4 linked regions of the Schizosaccharomyces pombe genome follow. Changing the gene in region 2 together with the main gene of any one other region gives a genetic interaction. Each region holds a gene or a part of one and is shown on either strand. Other genes may lie near its edges. The genes, in order: arg11, pof9, SPOM_SPAPB1A10.08 and atg20.

Region 1 (5,375 bases), on a different chromosome or scaffold from region 2:
GACGTTGTTCCTTCTCAGCTTCTTGACCCATAGAAATCCAAGTGTCGGTAACGACGATATCAGCATTTTTAACAGCAACCTTGGGGTCGTTAACAATTTCAAAAGTAGAACCGTTTTCGTTCGCAGCTTCGTTAACGATTGATAAAATATCGTCGCGAACGTTGACGTCCTTGGGCTTAGCAACGCTAGTATGAATACCAACCTTGGCATTTGCAATCATCAAATCATGTAAAACGTTATTGGCATCACCTACCCATGCAACTTTTAAACCGTCAAAGCTTTTGAAAGTTTCCTTAATAGTGAGTAAATCTGCTAACGCCTGGAGAGGATGAAACGTGTCACAAAGACCATTAATAACAGGACAAGAGGCATGTTTAGCGAGCGTAGCAACATCTGAATATTTGTTTACGCGAGCAACAATACCAGAAACCATACTTGATATAACTTTTGAAGTATCGTATAAAGACTCATTCACTCCTAATTGGATATCATCTTTACCTAAAAACATGGCATTGCCGCCAAGGCAACTGACAGCACTTTCGACTGATACACGAGTACGAGTGCTACGCTTACTGAAGATCATGGCGACATTCTGAGACGACAAACCACTCATTTGAACAGAACGGCGATTCTGAAAATTCTGCTTATAAGCTTGTTTAATTTCAGAAGACCGATCGATCAACTTTACAATCTCTCCGCGACTAAGATCACGAATGGATAGTAAATGACGAGGAAATTTTTTGAAAGACATTTTCAATTGCAAACTGAATAATTCTTCTCGACTAAATATATCAAAAATACGGTTTTTGTAGTCGACTACAAGGAACCCACAAGTTACTGGTAATTTCTTAGATATTCAGGGTGAGATTGCATATAGCCGATATCTAGTTCTCTCTCAGACTGCGAGATTGGCGCCGTAATATATCGTATGCGGATTTTCGACGAGATGGAAAATTTTTACATTATCGTACACTAGAGTTCAGTTGCAAACAAGCTAGTACGTTGATGAAATATGATAAAACAAGTCAAAAATTAAAAACTACTCATAAACATTCTATTTCCTTTCTTTTTCTTATGTTATTCATGGTAATATTGATACAGAACGTCAGAATACTTATCAGCAATAGCTTTTAAATACCAAAATCGTTAATTGATTAGCAGTAAAAGAATATTCATGGGTTTAGCATTTAATTATAGAACTAATGAAAAGGGATGAATTTTTTTCGACCTTGTAATATTTTTTTTATTTACCACCCATTCTTTAAAGAACCAATACATTGTAAATAAAATGTATCTAAAAAACGTGTAGTTATTTTTTTTGTTTATTCAATTATCTCTTGACACTATATTCAAGCGAGCTGAAATAAAACCAATTGTGTTACTATATTGATAACTCAGCATGCTTGTGAAATCAACAACTACCATGAAATGAACAATGAGTTCACAGATTCGCTATATTACAAGCTTACACTTACAGTATTGCATAAAGCGAAACAAGTTTTAACGAAAGAGAAGGGCTTCTTGCCAAATTTTTTTTTTTTTTTTTTTTTTTTTTTTTTTTAACGAGATTATCTTAGATAATAAATTTTATGATAAGTGCTTTTGTCTCATCAGGGTCATTGGGACTATTCAACGCGAAATCAAATAGAAAACAAAATATTGTTTCAAAAGAATGCTTTCATGTATAAATCAAGATATTGAACTGGCTTGCATAGAAATAATGAATATTGTACTGTGTCAGTTAGGACTAGTATTAAATAATGTATATACAAATAGATTCATTGTCGGCAAATGAGTTGCTTTTACAGTGTCATTTATATAGCTTTAATTCATTAAATGTCCATGTCTCACGTTTGCAGCACTTTCATGTAAACTGTTGGTTTCCGATGTAATTTTCAGCCAACAAGTAACATTATCGATCTCATCTTTTTGAGTGATTATCTCCAGAGCAAATCCCTAGATACAGCAATCAAATTTTAACGAATTATAGCTACGTTTACGAAGCAAATGATTTTCCAATTTTGAAACCAACCAAACTGCCTTCTACCAACTACAGTAAATCATAGAATATCACTAGAATTTGGCAATGCTTATTGAATTGCAACAAATTGTCAAGTCCGGTCTTGTACGGAATGGAGCGAAACACTGTACGAAAAGGAGCTTACTATGTTCCAATGCATCAGTCATTGCAAGCAAACGTTTTCAAGGCAGTTTTGCCCCGGGTCAACAACAACCGTTAAACCCACTCGCGAAACCAATTGAACAAGATCGTGATGCCATCATTAGAATTCTTTCCTCCATCGGAAGCCGTCGTGAAGTTGAGCAATACCTACGATACTTTACTTCCTTCGAAGCTCAACGTTTCGCTATTATCAAGGTTGGTGGTGCCATTATCACCGACGAATTAGACACATTGGCACAAAGTCTTGCCTTTTTGAATCATGTGGGTCTTTATCCCATCGTTGTGCATGGCGCTGGTCCCCAATTAAACAAAATTCTTGCCAGCAGAAATGTTGAACCCGAGTATAGCGATGGTATTCGAATCACCGATGCCGAGACTCTTTCTGTAGCTCGTAAAGTTTTCTTAGAGGAAAATGCGAAACTTGTAGATGCTTTGGAAAAGTTGGGAACTCGTGCTCGTCCCATTACAGGTGGTGTATTTCAGGCAGAGTATCTCGACAAAGAAAAATACAAGTATGTTGGCAAGATTGTCAAGGTAAACAAAGCTCCTATTGAACACAGTATTCGTGCTGGAACCCTCCCTATTCTTACGTCTATGGCCGAAACTGCTTCTGGTCAATTGTTGAATGTCAACGCCGACATTACTGCTGGTGAGCTTGCTCGCGTATTGAAGCCTCTAAAGGTGGTCTATCTCAATGAAAAAGGTGGACTTATCAACGGTGAAACAAAGAAAAAAATTAGCAGCATCTATTTGGATAGGGAGTACGATGGCCTCATGAAGCAACCATGGGTCAAGTATGGTACGAAGCTCAAAATCAAAGAAATCAAAGAGTTACTTGATACTCTTCCCCGTACATCTTCCGTAGCCATTATTAGTACGAAGGATTTGCAAAAAGAGCTTTTTACGGAATCTGGCGCTGGTACTTTGATTAGTCGCGGTTTTGTCATCAACAAACATGACTCGTTGGATAGCATTCCAGACGCTGCTCTAGAAAATTTGATCATTCAAAAAAATTCTTTAGCCGCACCTAGTGAAAGCTTGAAACAGTTCAAGGATACTCTGAAAGACAGAAAACTTCGTATTTATAGTGACTCTTTCAATGAATCTGTTGCTATTGTCGACACCACCGACTCATCCTTGCCAGTACTCTTAGCTTTTGGTGCCGCCGACAATAATTGGTTAAACAATGTTGTTGATAGCATATTAACAACATTAAAAGCAGACTTCCCTTCTTTGCTATGGCGTCTTCAACCTTCAGCCAAGAATCTGGAATGGTTCTTCTCTAAAAGCGAAGGTACTTTGTTTGCTAATAATTTTTACTACTTTTGGTACGGTGTAAAAGATTTGAATAAAATCTCCAAGTTCATTCAGTCTGACAAGCCATTTGCCGATGCTATCATTCAGACCCAATCCACTAAACCCCCTACTGCTTCATCTACCACCAACAACCCTTCCTCTTCACAGATCAATCAAAAACGAAGTTACTCAACTAGTTCTTTATTTTCAAAAAACAAAAAAATGAATCGTTCTTTGTTTTTAAAGGGTGGAAAACGATTTTTTTCTGCTGAGGCTCAGAAGACCCAAAAACCTTTGAAGGCGGTCTCATCGAAGCCAGCAAAAGTCGTTCTCCTTGGAGCCCGTGGTTATACCGGAAAGAACTTGATTGGATTGATTAACACTCATCCTTATCTCGAATTATCTCATGTTTCTTCTCGTGAGTTGGAAGGCACCAAACTTCCTGGCTACACTAAGAAAGAAATTCAGTATGTCAACTTGTCCACAGATGATGTTAAAAAATTAGAGGAAGAGGGAGCGGTTGATGCTTGGGTCATGGCCCTACCCAACGGTGTATGCAAACCTTATGTCGATGCTTTAACGTCTGCAAATGGTAAAAGTGTCATTGTTGATTTAAGTGCGGACTACCGTTTTGAGCCCTCGTGGCAGTACGGTCTTCCTGAACTAAATGACCGTGAAGCTTTGCGTAACTCGAAACGTATTTCCAATCCTGGTTGTTACGCTACTGGATCGCAAGTCGGTTTAACTCCCATACTCTCTTTGATTGACGGCCAGCCCTCTATTTTTGGTGTATCTGGTTATTCTGGGGCTGGCACTAAGCCCTCTCCGAAGAATGACTTGAATGTATTGACAAACAATTTGATACCTTACTCATTAACTGATCACATCCATGAACGTGAAATTTCTTATCGTTTAAAGCAACCTGTCGCCTTTATTCCTCACGTTGCTCAATGGTTCCAAGGAATTACTTTAACTATTAATGTTCCGTTAAAGAAAAGTATAACTTCCCGTGAGCTTCGTAACTTATACCAAGACCGTTATAATGGTGAGCCTTTAATTCATGTTCAAGGAGATGTACCTTTGGTCAAGGACAACGCACACAAGCATCATGTTTCAGTTGGTGGTTTTGGTGTGCACTCTTCTGGAAAGCGTGCAGTCATTGTAGTTACTATCGACAATTTACTTAAAGGTGCTGCTACTCAAGCTCTCCAGAATCTCAATCTGTCCTGTGGTTACGATGAATATGCCGGTATCCATTTGGATTGATTATATTTTTTGTAGCCCATTCTTTTGTTATTTTTATTCTTTCTGTGTACCATTTGGATATTTTTTTGTTACAAATATTTTGAACTAAATGCATTAATCCTTGCTATTAAATAGCCAGCAGTAAGTCGCGTACGAGTACCATCTTAAGTTTCCACACATTTTAATTTAGTTCTTGTTCAGTTATACAAAATTCCTCTGTCTGTGCGTCGCAGACTCTTCAAAACTTATATAAACAGATTTGAAGTTGCTTTCTATGGTATAGATTTTCATCAACGAAATAATTTTTGTACGTAGAATAAAGTGGTAAATAGTTAAGCTTCAATAATCTTAATTGCGTATAAGTTTTATTTCTTTATTTAAAATTATATATGTTACTTAAAAAATAAGCCCAAAGTAATAAGAAATCTCTATCCTTGCATTACTAACGCTTCCTCCATAAGTATATTTTTGGGGAGGAATTTTGCTACCGTCCGCCATTATCAACTAAGTGAGTTCGATGGGGGTAAATACTGCCGGAGACCCTCAAAAAAGCCAACCCAAAATAAATAAAGGTGGAATTGGGAAGGATGAGAGTTTTGGAGCCCTCTTTAAACCTGTTTATAAGGGCAAAAAGCTTGCAGACCCTGTTCCC
Region 2 (3,990 bases):
CTGGATCTGTAAACAAAACCCCCAAGTTAGGGTCGCCAGAAAAAAATGGGGTGGTTAGGAATATTACAAACCACCAACGCAAACGACAAATAGAGAGCAAGAGCCCAACAAATTTTGACCACCGAGGATTTAATATGAAAATCGGTAACCTTCCTTACAGTCCAAATCAATTAAAAAAAATAATAATGTTTGGTAAAAACTCGTCGTAGTAGCACAGTAACTTAATTCACAGGGGTCAGGAATATAAATTGGTCAATGTGTGTACTTTATGTAATTGCGATACAGGAAGAAGGAAAAAAAATTTTCTCACTTATTTAATCACCGTTGTGTTTTCCTTGTGCTGCTTTTTTTTATAATTGGCTTACCTAGAGGAATTAGTAAAAATAGAGATAAATTCGGAAGTCCGAGGTGGCCGAGATATTTATTTATTTCACTTACTTAGCGGACAAAATAAAATCCTTCTCTAGTGCGCACGCGGAAATTAGCTTACCAAGCAAAGTTGATCACTATTTCACCTAGCCGTCCCTTTCCAAAGTCCGAGTCGCAGGGGCAGCTAAAAAGCGCAACGCTGGAACTCTGGATGGTCGGATGATAGAAAAAGTTGTAATTGGAGGCACATTGACTTCGGGTAAAACAGATTCCGAAATGGCGAGAGCAGCACTTTGCCATCCGCCGGCTGCAACTGAATAGCAAGTTCCTGAAAAGTGAATTTGATGTGGAATGGAAACGATGTTGCGTGCGGTGCGTGGATCAGAAACAATGCTGGGATCAGATGTCTGTTCTTGCAAATGAAGAGAACCCAAACCTAAACACCCACAATAACGTAATTCAACACCCCACGACCATATGGAATGATCGCTTGTTAAGTAAAGATGATGATGATCGCCATGCGCCAATTGCTTAATTCCTCGGTTCTGGAGAAAGTCGTGGATAACCGGGTCATCATCGACCTGCTTGGTATTAGCATGACCCATGTAAACAGTATTGCCATCGTCCGATAAACATGTGAAAGTTTCAAAGCTGCCTGCTAAATGCCAACCTTGATGGGGGTCGTGCGAAGCGAACCTCTTCAATTCTCTTCCTAGCGTGTGTTGTGTAGCTTGGTCCAGGTCTAAACGAAACACGGCGCCTTTTTTCTGAGGTGATGCGACAGTATACACTAGGAATCCTGCGCAGTGAACATAATCGTTCAGCACGAATTCCTTCATCGATGCCTCTGGCTGGAAAAGTTGCGCTTCACTTTCTCGTCCAGTGTGCCAGACAAGAAAGCCAATGCCCGGCACATACGCCGAATGCGAGTCCCAACCTGATTTAAAATTAGCAATTCTTCCGCGATAGGCTGATAGCATATTTTGTTCATCTGTCAAGCAAATTCGTGTTTTTAGAGATACTTGATACAAGTGTCCCGTCTCACCGAGTGCAAGACAAAACTCTCGACCAGCATGGATTTTCACAATTGGCTCTAAATCTCTCATCAATTCGGGCCCAACATTGTTTGGTACCCCCGTAACATATAAATTTCCGTTTTCATTTAATAAATACATCCCATAACCTCTAAATTCCGCATAGGGAATAGTTAGTCATTGTAGTGCAGTCAAATAAATTCCTGTATCTATGCGCTTACCCAACTTGAACCTGAATAGTAGAACGAACGTCCTTCCCAGTCAATGCACCAGGACGATCTCGAGGATACTGATTTGTATTGACGACGCGGCCCAAATAGTTTCTTATCTGTTGCCCCCATGAGTAAGCGTATCCTCGGTCTTTCCATACAGCATAGGGTCTTTTGTAATTATCATCAACAACTGGGACTACATTGGTGAGACCTTGGACCCGTGCACAAAATCGATGCCAAATTGTTTTGTCGTCAAAAACATACGAAAGTGACTTGCATGTTTCTGACAAATGAACTATATCTTTATAATCAAGATATGTACTAATTTCTAGCAATATATCGTAAGAAAGCTCCAGGAATGGTGATTTAGCCATAATGAATCTCGCATGGGTAGTAGTATATGAATACCTCTGAATATATACAAGGGAAACGGTGTTGAAATACGTCAAAAGCACATGTTTTCTGCAACTCTTAATAACTAGATACAATTGTATTATTTACAATTAATAAATGATAATAAAGAAAGGTCTATGAAACGAAGGTGTAGTCATTGCACGAATCAATTTCAAAGTCTATCAGCATAACGAAGCAGATTTAAGAGTAAATGATCGGCTTTATAAAAACCAATTGAGTAATTCTTGTCTGTTTTAAAGAAGAAAGCTTCTGAACTGCCCCTTTTTTTTTAAGCATTCATTGCACACCCTTTCCAATGAAGCATTGATCATACCAAAATTGTAAATTAAGGAAAAAGAAAAATAAGAGTATCAAAAATAAAGAAGTAGGGTATATAAAAGACGGCTCCTACTACAGAAAAAAAGACCACGCGCACAAGTAAAATATTGCTTTATAAAAACCAAGCCACAGTAGCTCAGAGTTCTTGACAGCGCCTTGCGATTGAAAAATTCTTGGAAATTCTAAATTAATTTTTGTTTTCCAATAGCTTTTTTTGTTGTTGCTCATCAATACCCAAGAGGTAAAGAGCGTTTTGCAAAGATGGAAGATTGATTTTCGAATCAGCCTAATTAAAAAAAAAAATCGAGTTAGTAAGATCATTAAAAACATAAATTTGTAAAAAAATTTCGAACATACCAATAATTGAACTTTGGGTTTAGCTTTGAACGCAATTCCTAAACCGGATTCGGCCATCATGACCAAATCGTTAGCTCCGTCCCCAACAGCCATCGTTTCGAGCTTATTTAAACCCAACTCTTCCCTCTTTTCACGCAAAATGGAAGCTTTTCGTTGTCCATCTACAATTGCACCTTGAACTTTTCCAGTGAGGAATTTACCATCATCGGAAAATTCAAGTACATTGGCATATGCATAGTCCAAGTCCAGTTGTCCCTTGACATATTCAGCCATTGGAACAAATCCACCACTAGCGACAACAAGAGTCGCACCCATTTGCTTAAGGCAATGACAAAGCTGTTTAGCTCCTGGAGTGAAAGTAATTTTGCCAATGACTTTATTTATGACATCGACGCTCAACCCTTGTAGTAGAGAAACGCGACGACGAAGTGATTCTTGAAAGTCAATTTCCCCATTCATTGCAAGAGATGTAATCGTAGCAACCTCTTTCTGGATGCCTGCTTCTGCCGCGAGCTCGTCAATACACTCTTGTTGAATCAACGTCGAGTCCATGTCAAATACTACAAGCTTCTTTTTAGTGGAAAATGTTGCTTCACTCAAGCAATTACAGTCTACATTCTCAGTAGCAGAAATGCGGTTACAAGCGTCTTTAGCATCTTCAAACGTTCCTTTAAGTTGGCCTGATACTAAAGTCCACTGTTCCCCCAGAGAACGAGTCTTCCCATCTCTAAACAAGGAGGAAATCTGTTCAAGCACATTTGGACGATTTGAGGAAACAACTATGGCTGCGTTGACCATGCTTATTAAAAGGTATGAGTGGGTTTGCTAAATTTTCTAAGTTGAAAAGCGTTGTTTTCGGCAAGTCCCATTTACTAATTACTCGGCTATTGATTAAGCTTAACGTTAAACGACAACAAGTACTAGGTCAATTTAAGTTATTTGAAAATCTCAAACAAGCTTATTTTTTGTTATTGTTTACAAATTTATCATTATCTTCAAAATGCTGTATAAATTGTGAAGTTGGTAAAGTGGTGCCTAAACTCCGTTTTCAAACACAGGTTAATAAGCAAATATTTTTTTTATACATTAAAGCAATAAAGCAAGAAATCATAACTAAGAAGATGTTTGGAAATATTGCAATATATCAGGGCAAATATTCCAAAAATGAGAGCCTACCATAAAGTAGAGAGTGAGATATTTGTAAAGTGAAAAAGCACTAAAAAAATATTTGGCAATGTAATAATTGTTCTCTTTCATTCCTAAAAGGTTATACACAATTTAATGTG
Region 3 (4,752 bases), on a different chromosome or scaffold from region 2:
AGCATGCACCATGAAAGCAACGAATTTACAAAGTACAAAACGGCATAACTAATCACCGCTCCAACATTGCTTTGTATGGAATTAGTCAAACTAAGGACAGAAGTAACAAGAAAACTGCTAGCAATACCTACTACTCCCGAAAGAGAAGAGGCAAGAGCTAAAGGTATAGATAAAACCGCACCCATATCTCAATTGCGTTTAGGATATATCTTTATATATAAAGCGGAATACAGTTGATCAAAGAAAAATATTCAGGTAAAGAAATTTCGTCAACGACAGCAAATGCCTGAATAGGTTAAAAAGTAGCAATTAGCAGAATAGTAGCAAATTTGTAAAATTAACAAATAATAATTTGAAAGATAAAAATAATAGAGGAAGAAAGAATTGTAAACTCCTTAAATATCACTTTCTCATATACATGTACACATATCGTAGTTATACTATTTGTTCTGGGTGTAGAACCATAACACGCAGACGTACGACGCTACTTTGCTTACCAACGCTTAATATGGTAATACATTATAACTTAATTGTGTGAATTGCTATATTGCTTTAGAACTCCCTAAAATCTATTCAGTGTAGTGTTAAAGTACTGAAAAAATTTTTTACGTGCTAAATAAAAGCCAATTATATGGTATTAAGCATCTTGATGGATTGCAATAAATTTGAATACGCACCGTTTTATCTGATGTAAAAGCTGTTCTAATTTATTCTTTAATGAATTATATATTTGTATATGGACAGATAGTAAGACTCGCTCCATGGATTGCAAGGCACGTGAGTTCCGTGGATGTTGATAGTGCAAAATAATTAGAAGTTTTACATCGGGTAAAAATTTACTTGCAACCTTATTATCGTGCACTTATTTGGCAGATTGGACTTTACTATTGATTTGACAGACCCTTCTCTAACGTGTTATAGCCGGAAAGTTCGGCTTAGGAACACTTGCCGGTAAGTATACTATTCAACATAGCAAAGCCCTAAAGAAAATCTCACTAAAACCAAGTAAAATAAAACAAGTTAAAAAAAAAATAGCTAAAGACATCGTGACAAATTGAATAATATGTTTCATGAAATTTTTGTGTCAAATGATATTGATCAAAATGTGATACCGACTAAGTCAATCTTCATTTATGTGTATATGTGTGTGTAATTTTTTTAATTTTTTTTCCTACTGACCCAATGCGCTCTTTTTCCTATTTGATGGCCGAAAATTTAATTTCACAAATTTTGCTTCCATTTTCTTGTGACTTTACCATCAGAACTAGTGAGTAACGAAATATGCTAAGTTTTGGATAGGAGGAAATTTTACTAGTACGAAAAAATCTCGACTTTCCTCCATTAGCTGAACAAAGAAATATGCTTTTCCCAATCCGTATGCGGTTGATGTAACGGAATGTGTAAGGGAAATGACTATCTTTTAATTTAAATCTATTTTACGTTTATCACACTGACTACTCGGCTATGAAGGGGAGAGAATGTAATAGCGATAAAATTTTCAAATGTATTTCAATTACTTAGAAAAGATATTCAGTATCCTTTTTCTTTTTTGAAAGCATACAAATCATAAATAAAAACTCATATTGTTCATATACTGTTTGTCACATAACCCTTCGTATTACTAATACAAACAACGATAATTCAAGCCTTAGTAATTAACCTAGCGTTGCCAAATATCAACAATACAAAGTTCCGAATTGCCCTTGTAAATACGGATCTGCAAACTGGGAATTTGAGAGAAACAGCAAAGAGCATATACAAGTTTGCCATTGGGAATACAGGTGAGCTCCGACTCGTTCTTTAAAGAAAGCTATTCAGAAAGTGATTTTGAAATCCGAAATATCTTCTCATACGTCTCTGTATAGGTCTTCCTCAGTCACATTTGGATATCAAATCATTCATCGCATCTCATCATCATTATTCCTATAGATCCCATTTTTACTTATACCACACTTTGTCCTTTCTTTATCCTTAATACATTCATCCGTGGCTGCGCAAAACCAGTCACTGCCGCTGCTGTTAGACTTCGTAAAAACGTATAAGCAACGCTGGTGAAGGAGGAAAATACTTTGGTTATTTCTAGCAAAGTCAACAATACCCAAGCCCCGCGGAATTTTATCCGGACTTCGGCATTCATCCTCTCGCCTATAGAGGAGTAATATTACGGTAAACAAGCAACCACTTGTCTCTTCCGGTCTTTAAAATCAGCAATTCTCCTTGCTTTCCCTATTTACCATCCCTACTTCACAATTCCTTGATTGCTGTTTTTTTGTAAAAATTGGGTTTATTTTTCAACAGTAATCATTCCTTTGCTTGTAAAAGCCAGGAATTTTGGCTAGTGCTTTTAGCCTGCTGAAGTTTCATCACCCGTGAACGTGTGTAATTTAATTGCCTTCATTCGATAATCAGTTTTCACATTCTTTTGCTGTAAAACGAGAACTAGAAGCAATTGAGCCTTTTATTCGTCTTTTGAAGGCTTTAACGTTTGTTTGTTGTATTTTTAGAAAGCTCGAAGGTCGTATAGCTTTCCAACATTGTAGCTTCTAATTCACTTTATGAACTGCTTTGCAATTAGAAACCGGTAGGATTTGATCAATTGGCTTTATATATAGGCGCTATATTTTCTTTCTTTTTACATTTCTTTCTATGATGACTCGGATGGAATTAAGACCATTGGAAATTGGCTTCTCTAAAGCACTCACAGAAGTAGCTCCGGTAACTTGTCAATGCGAATGTTGGGATCATAATCTTTGCAGCTCTCAAGCTAGTGAGATGGATTTAATTTATCAGTCTCAGGATACCCATTCTTGTGCATCAAAGCAAGACGCCGTTTTTCAGTTGCTGAGTGAAACCAAGATCCCTGTTCCCAATCGTTATAGAAAAATTTCACATCGCTTGAGTACTCTATCTAATAAAAAAACTCTTAAATCACAATTAGATCGTTTTTTGTCTTCGTCCAAAAAATTACACAATGATGATGTTAATAGAGGTGATTACTGCTTTCTTCTTTCTACACCTGTCGAGTGTTCTGCTTCTACCAACTCTCATTCTTACGACTGTTTGTGGAATTTTTCGTGTAATTCATTCCCTGAATACTCCTCCTACTCTGCTTCGGAAACGTCTTCAGTCGCTTCTTACTCTTACTATTCGGGGCCAAATCCTGCAACTCCCAGCTCTTCCTCTTGTAACCTCGTAAACGCAAATAGCCTTGATATTTACTTGAATATTAACAACTTAAAAAAATCCAAATCTGTTCCTCGTTTAAGAGGTCAATGTATGTTCTTTTAAGATTTTTCAACCTTTTCTCTTATCTTTTATTTATTCATCGTTGCTAACAATATCATAGTTATGGAGCCCGTAGAGCATAACCATCCACTTTCTAAAAGTCTTGAGGAGCAATCCTCTTTTTTGGAACAATCAAAGGATGCTTCCTCTAACTTGACCGCCTGCAATAGGAGTGGCTCTAGTTTATCATCTAATTTCTACTCATCTAGGTTGTCCAAAAAAACATCTTTAGCATCTTTAAATAAGTCTCGAGCTTCTTTACAGCATAAAATAATGTCGCTATCTCGTAATATCATCAGACGTGTATTTCACAAGCCAGAAGTGCATTTGGATCCAAGTGCCTCCATTTTAAATCTCTCATCTTCGCATGGCGAAAGCAACCTGACAAATGGTTTGCTTTGTCAAAATTTCAAGCTTTTTCAGGATGATTGGTTGATGGAGGATTGTGCGCCAGATGCCAATTTCACTTTGTACACCCCGCTTCAACCCTGGGAAAAGCGAAGTGTGAAACCTGAAATCAGACGTCCTCGATTAAATCCTAATTTTTTCCGAGTATTTGTTTTAGAAGCTCAAATGCGACGAGCTGGAAAGCTATCAGCAAACACTGCTGGCCGAGCCCAGTTAATTTACCTCCCAAAGCCTGCCGTTACCTTCTCCACTAGCCCTTTGCATGTTGAATTGTAAAAATTTAACGCATGACTTATATACATTTGCATTCTTCCAAGCTGGTTATATTTATTTTCATTTTTTTCTCACCCAATACTTTTTTATCCCTACTGTCTTTATGGACAATCGACTCACAATTGTTTCTTTTTGTTGTATATGATTTTTTTTTTAAAGGAAATGGGTTTCGCGATACTGGGTTGAATCCCAATTGCGGTTAATATTACATAAAATAATTCTCCCATAGTCCTAGATCCTGTCTTTGAATATGAGCAAATAAAAGAATTGAACAAATCATGAATGCTTTTCTCTCTTAGATGATATTTTGTATGCATAAGTCTAATTATATTGATTACGATAAGACTTAAAAAGTAAGCCTTTGTATCCTTTTAAGCAGTATTTGAATTTTCTTGTATCATATTTTAGGTAGAGCAAAAGATACCAGTTTGTAGAACTTTATGTGCTTCCTTACATTGGTATATTTCAGGCACATAAATATTCTTCAACTTACAATTCTAAGTATTTTGTTTATACTAAAAGGAGCTGAATAACGTTTATACAGTGCTGACATTGAAATCTATTTGCTTTCTTTGGAATATAAGCGCATGCTGAGTTACTTTCGCAGGCCAAGCCATATCCAACCACCATTTTTGTGCCAAGCTTTTATGCAAGGTTAATTCCTTGTACTGCTTGTTATGTTATAATATATCAACATCTTAACAGTTTTCATATCTTCCTTTATATTCTATTAATTGAATTTCAAACATCGTTTTATTGAGCTCATTTACATCAACCGGTTCAATG
Region 4 (4,707 bases), on a different chromosome or scaffold from region 2:
CAGCTGGTGCATTGACAGGTGCTCTTTACAAATCTACTCGTGGACTTCGTGCTATGGCTATTAGTAGTTCGCTTGTAGCCACTGCAGCTGGCATTTGGACCCTTGCAAAGCGTTCTTTCACTAAGCGACTTAATTAAAAAATTCTTTTGTAACTTTTGGTTATAAAATTTGTACGATAATGTGAGTTAGGTGTTCCTTTTATGACACTCATTTTCTCTCACTCTTGTGCGGACCCTTTTTTCCCTAATTTGTAAATCCGACAATGGATTTATGTCTTTTGGTTTTATTCATCTCATTTATGTCGTTTGATTTTCCTAAAAATTCAATTCTATCAACACCCTTCTGTCAAAAAGAATTGACTGCGTTTCTTTTTCCTCGCATTTGTAATATCTCTGAATCCTTGATCCTACCTCCTTTTCGCAAAGGGAAGGAATAAAACTACTGAACAAACATACGGGTTCTTACATTTTGTTTTGTTGGAATCCTTTTATTTGAACAGTACATTCATATTTTGACATAAATATCACTTTTTTGTATCATTTTTATCCCACAGCTTTTTATTACATTGTATTTTTGTACGTGATCAATATGGAAAGAAGGTTAAAGTTCTTGTTAAGTAATTGTTTATTCAAGTAATTCGTAAAATGGCTCTATTCGAGCACACTTTAACTAACAAAAAAAGAGAAAAAGGGTAGAGAGAAAAATGAAAGGATTTAAACGATTTGTCGGTACATATTGATAAAAAGGTAAGAGGAGGAACAATGAATATTCACAAAGAAGAACAGCTTTCATTGTATGCTTTAGTATTATTAATATTTCTAAATCTATAATAGCATTAAATAAATTTTTCATTAATAAAATGTACTCGACCTTAAAAATTTATCCAAGCGATAGATCTTCCAAGGGAAATATGACTTTCATAGTTAAGGCTTGTCATGTGGTATTATTAGTCATTAACAAAATCGTAAAAAAGAAACATAAAAAAGGATGTATGCAGAAATTAAAATAAAATACAAAGTATGTAAGACTCGGAATGCAATTATAAGCAAACCTACCCAACGTACTTATATGTCCTTCGATAAATTTTCGAGTTCTTCACGAGTTCGCAACCATCGTTGTAAATTTGTTTGTGCCCATTTGTAGATACATTCATGAACAGATTTAATTATTTCTTCCCACTGCGACGTCTGACATTCTTTGTAGAATTTAAGCTCTGCATCCATGAATTCGTCAATTTTTTGACAATCCCAATTTGCAGCCGCTAGTTGATTCTCTATGGTATTCTTATGCTGCTGGAGACTTTCTTTGCTAATGGAGGTTTCACCTTCTACAAAGTCATGTAAAACGTTTTGTAAGCGACCAAAAATTGTGTAACCCTTTTTGGCTTGGGAGACAACTGCTCGTTGAATAGTATTCAATCTGGTCGCCGGGTGTATCGTGGGTGAAGCAGCTACCATAGAGTCGGTAGCAGACATTGTGTTAGAGTGGATGAGCTGGTCTTGAAGAAAATCTCGCTGTTGTATCTTCAATTGCTTATACTTAAGAGCATCTGCGGCACACTTCGCCAGCTGCATAGACTGAACCATTTTTTCATAGACGGAGGAATTAAATTCTTGTTCGAATTCCTTGGCGTACATTCCGCTGAATTCAAAGGCATTAGCAATCACTTGCAAATGATTTGCTAATTGTATTTCATTGAGAGCAGTCAAAGAGTGAAATGCCGATCCTAACTTTGAAAGGCAAGACTCCATTTTAGAAATACTAGATAAAGTTGAATGTATGGAAGGACTCAGACTATGATGAAGGAATTTCCGACAAACAATCACTTCTTGAGTATAGGAAGTCAAATCTTTGAGTACTGGAGAGGGTGCGTCTTTACCATTAGAAATGCTGGAACGACGCTGTGTGGGAGATAACTCCGAAGGTGAGCTATTGTAATGTGGAAAGTCTGGTGCCGTTGGGGTAGAAGGACTTTCATTCAATTCATGCGTAGGTTGCATATCGCTTGTTGGGGGATGACATTCATCCTCAGAGCCCAAAGGAGAAGAAGGTTCTAAACTCGAAGCAGTTGAAGGATTAGATAAGGAATGGATTGGCTTTAATGCGCGAGACGAAGGGGGACTTAATGAGTTGGCCATTACAAGTGGCATGGAAGAGCGCAAATGAGCGAATGGGTCATGCTCAGTAGCAATAGGAGGAAGGCGGAGTGGATCAGTATTTGAATCCTTTGGTAAATCTAAAGATGATAAAGTCACGTGCCAAGAAACAGTGCTATGAATAAACTTATCGAAAATAGGATTGGAACGAATGCATGGATGCAAAAGACACTGACGAAGAAACAATTCTAGCATCCTGGAGCGAAAATTTAAGAATTCAGCATCACTTTTAGCTTTTCGTGGATGTTTGGCATAACTTACTAAACAGCGGAGCATGTGTGTACAATGAATTGCACACAGCCCATGTTAATAAACGTTTGAAAAGAAAATGAAAAAACGCGATGAAAGATATTATATCTAAATATATTGGAAAACTTACAAAGTGATTGTTTTCCCGGTATAGGAGGAACAATTGCAGCGGGATACTGCCGACGCATCAACTTAACCAAGGACTCAAAATCCGAATATCTCCGCCAAACGGAACGCTTCTACAGTATAAAAATTAGCAGCTAAACTCATAGATACCAAGGATCTCAAGCCACATACCTGGTGTACAATTTCATACTCAACATACGAACCGTCCGAGGAAGTTACTGTACCGACGATCTGGATTTCAGTTGAATAACCACTTCCTCCCGAGTCGCTGGATATAACTTCAGGTTTCTCTTCGTAAGAATCGTCTTGTGCCATACTTCTTTAATCGATTTAATGGAGAAAGAAATGTAGCTAGTTCGTCATATAAGTCATGGCTTTGCAGACTGGATTGTATTTCGTTGTAATATGATAGAGATCGCAAATCAATATACTTATAACTACGTTATACTGTATATGAGAATGGATTAGATAGCGTTATACTGAATGCATTGTAAAATGGGTTTCCATAAGGTCAAAGAAACAATCAGAACTTTAAAATGACAGGGGAAACCTATGTATATAAAATACGAGATTTCGAAAAAAAAATAGATTTTGGTTTACGTGGAGAATTTCTTAGTACTATCACAGTAAACAAGTAATGCAGTTGTAGAGGAGATTTCTTTTTAAGGTTATGATAGCGGACAGTGATTATATTATCCAGTATATATTTCGAAACATCTTATCAAATCACTATAGTTTAATACCGATGGCTGTTGTAGCTATCGTTAACTGGATTCGTTTGGTTATATCGTGCGATGTAAACAATGCGGTATAAATAAGAGGTATATTATAATAAAACTTGTTTTCATCCTCGAAATGAACTAAATTAATAATTTATTTTCAATGATAAAAATTATTCTAATTTCACTATATAAAAATGCTCATGGATAATTTCCACAACTTCTAATGGACCTATGGAATGGTGATGCTATAGTTTATTTCACGAAAAAACAGCTAGAACTTTTAAGGCTCCATTCAGCAACTTTATATACTAAGTAAATCCTTATAAGTTAAAAGCGATAAAAGGATTTTACATAAAAACACTTTGCTTCATTTATTTACTGGAGAAATACTTCCCGTTAATGCAAATCGGCAAACACCGTATTTGCATATTGCACAGTTTAATAGAGCACGATATTAAAATGTTGGTAAACACAAGATTGTTTTTCATAAAATTCGTTTCTGTAGCTATAATGGAAATCATGTCATGTTTATCATCGAAAGAAAAGTCGACTATAAAGGTGCTCCGGGTATTTCATGAATTGTCTTACTTAAATGATTTTGCTTTCCCTAGATATATCTCAGTAGACCAAATTTGATAGACTTTTTAACAACGATCATCATAGATCACTTTTTCTTTCCTTCAGGGATTCTTTACTTTTAAATAACACTTGTGATTGTTCTGGATGCATTTTGAATGCAAATCTTCATGAAGCATTCCATAACCAATTTCACCTTCTATTCAAAAGCAAGGAAGGATAATTTTGTAAACAGTTGACCTTCAAGGACTCCTGATCTCTGGTTATCAACTTTAGAGGCAAAGCTCATCCGCAATATTTCAGCACTAAATAGAAAGAGAGACACCCCTATAATTATATATATTTGGTTATCAGTGACTCAAGAAAAGGAAGGCATATTCAAGACATATTGTTAAAACAAAAAAAAAAATACAGTTTCGTCAAAGTAAAGTTTCTTTAAGAAATGAGAATTCCTCCTAAGCTCTTGATTTAATAGTAGAGAAATAATTTACCAAGTTTTTTGTTGTGCATCAAAAAAATTGCAGTAAAGCAAACTATACCATGATATTGGCGAGTATCCAAAAAAATGAAATAAAATAAATACATAAGGTGAAGAGAAGGATCCAAAATTTAGCTTACTGAAGCCATGATTTCCTAAAAGAAACCTTTTATAAAAATATATCCTTCTTTGGTTGAAAGAGAGACGATGGAAAAACGCTGAGATGGAAAGAATAGCGGCATAGCCCCTTTGTATGCAGGATCATTGTAATTATTTCTCATTTTCTGATTCTAGCTTATGCTTTATTTTAGCCTGTTGGACGAATCCTTGAATGATTTCAGAAGCTACAGAAGATCCAACAAACTTGCTCATCATGCCATGGAGTTTGCTTGCAAATTCA

What was found.
Region 1: mutations in pof9 (region 2) and arg11 together harm fitness more than expected from each alone (negative genetic interaction), as found in Schizosaccharomyces pombe (one large-scale study listed by BioGRID).
Region 3: mutations in pof9 (region 2) and SPOM_SPAPB1A10.08 together harm fitness less than expected from each alone (positive genetic interaction), as found in Schizosaccharomyces pombe (one large-scale study listed by BioGRID).
Region 4: mutations in pof9 (region 2) and atg20 together harm fitness more than expected from each alone (negative genetic interaction), as found in Schizosaccharomyces pombe (one large-scale study listed by BioGRID).

The regions. Positions count from the first base shown.
Region 1 is NC_003424.3:2,269,388-2,274,762, reverse strand, and holds arg11 (N-acetyl-gamma-glutamyl-phosphate reductase/acetylglutamate kinase), read left to right. Parts: upstream 1-2,038; 5' UTR 2,039-2,086; coding exon 2,087-4,744; 3' UTR 4,745-4,855; downstream 4,856-5,375. Other genes in the region: ornithine carbamoyltransferase Arg3, read right to left, coding at 1-751; DNA-directed RNA polymerase III complex subunit Rpc2, read left to right, coding at 5,241-5,375.
Region 2 is NC_003423.3:1,869,846-1,873,835, reverse strand, and holds pof9 (F-box protein Pof9), read right to left. Parts: upstream 2,004-3,990; 5' UTR 1,990-2,003; coding exon 1,625-1,989; exon of another isoform or gene 1,555-1,624; coding exon 516-1,554; downstream 1-515. Other genes in the region: phosphoserine phosphatase Ser2, read right to left, coding at 2,535-2,633, 2,705-3,502.
Region 3 is NC_003424.3:1,873,613-1,878,364, forward strand, and holds SPOM_SPAPB1A10.08 (uncharacterized protein), read left to right. Parts: upstream 1-1,973; 5' UTR 1,974-2,646; coding exon 2,647-3,274; exon of another isoform or gene 3,275-3,346; coding exon 3,347-3,969; 3' UTR 3,970-4,252; downstream 4,253-4,752. Other genes in the region: SPOM_SPAPB1A10.07C (sphingolipid biosynthesis protein), read right to left, coding at 1-185; antiparallel microtubule cross-linking factor Ase1, read left to right, coding at 4,750-4,752. UniProt on the Schizosaccharomyces pombe protein: May have a role in meiosis and sporulation.
Region 4 is NC_003421.2:881,531-886,237, reverse strand, and holds atg20 (sorting nexin Atg20), read right to left. Parts: upstream 2,867-4,707; 5' UTR 2,847-2,866; coding exon 2,703-2,846; intron 2,645-2,702; coding exon 2,536-2,644; intron 2,417-2,535; coding exon 1,065-2,416; 3' UTR 550-1,064; downstream 1-549. Other genes in the region: TIM23 translocase complex subunit Tim23, read left to right, coding at 1-137; ubiquinone-binding protein Coq10, read right to left, coding at 4,578-4,707. UniProt on the Schizosaccharomyces pombe protein: Required for cytoplasm to vacuole transport (Cvt), pexophagy and mitophagy. Also involved in endoplasmic reticulum-specific autophagic process and is essential for the survival of cells subjected to severe ER stress.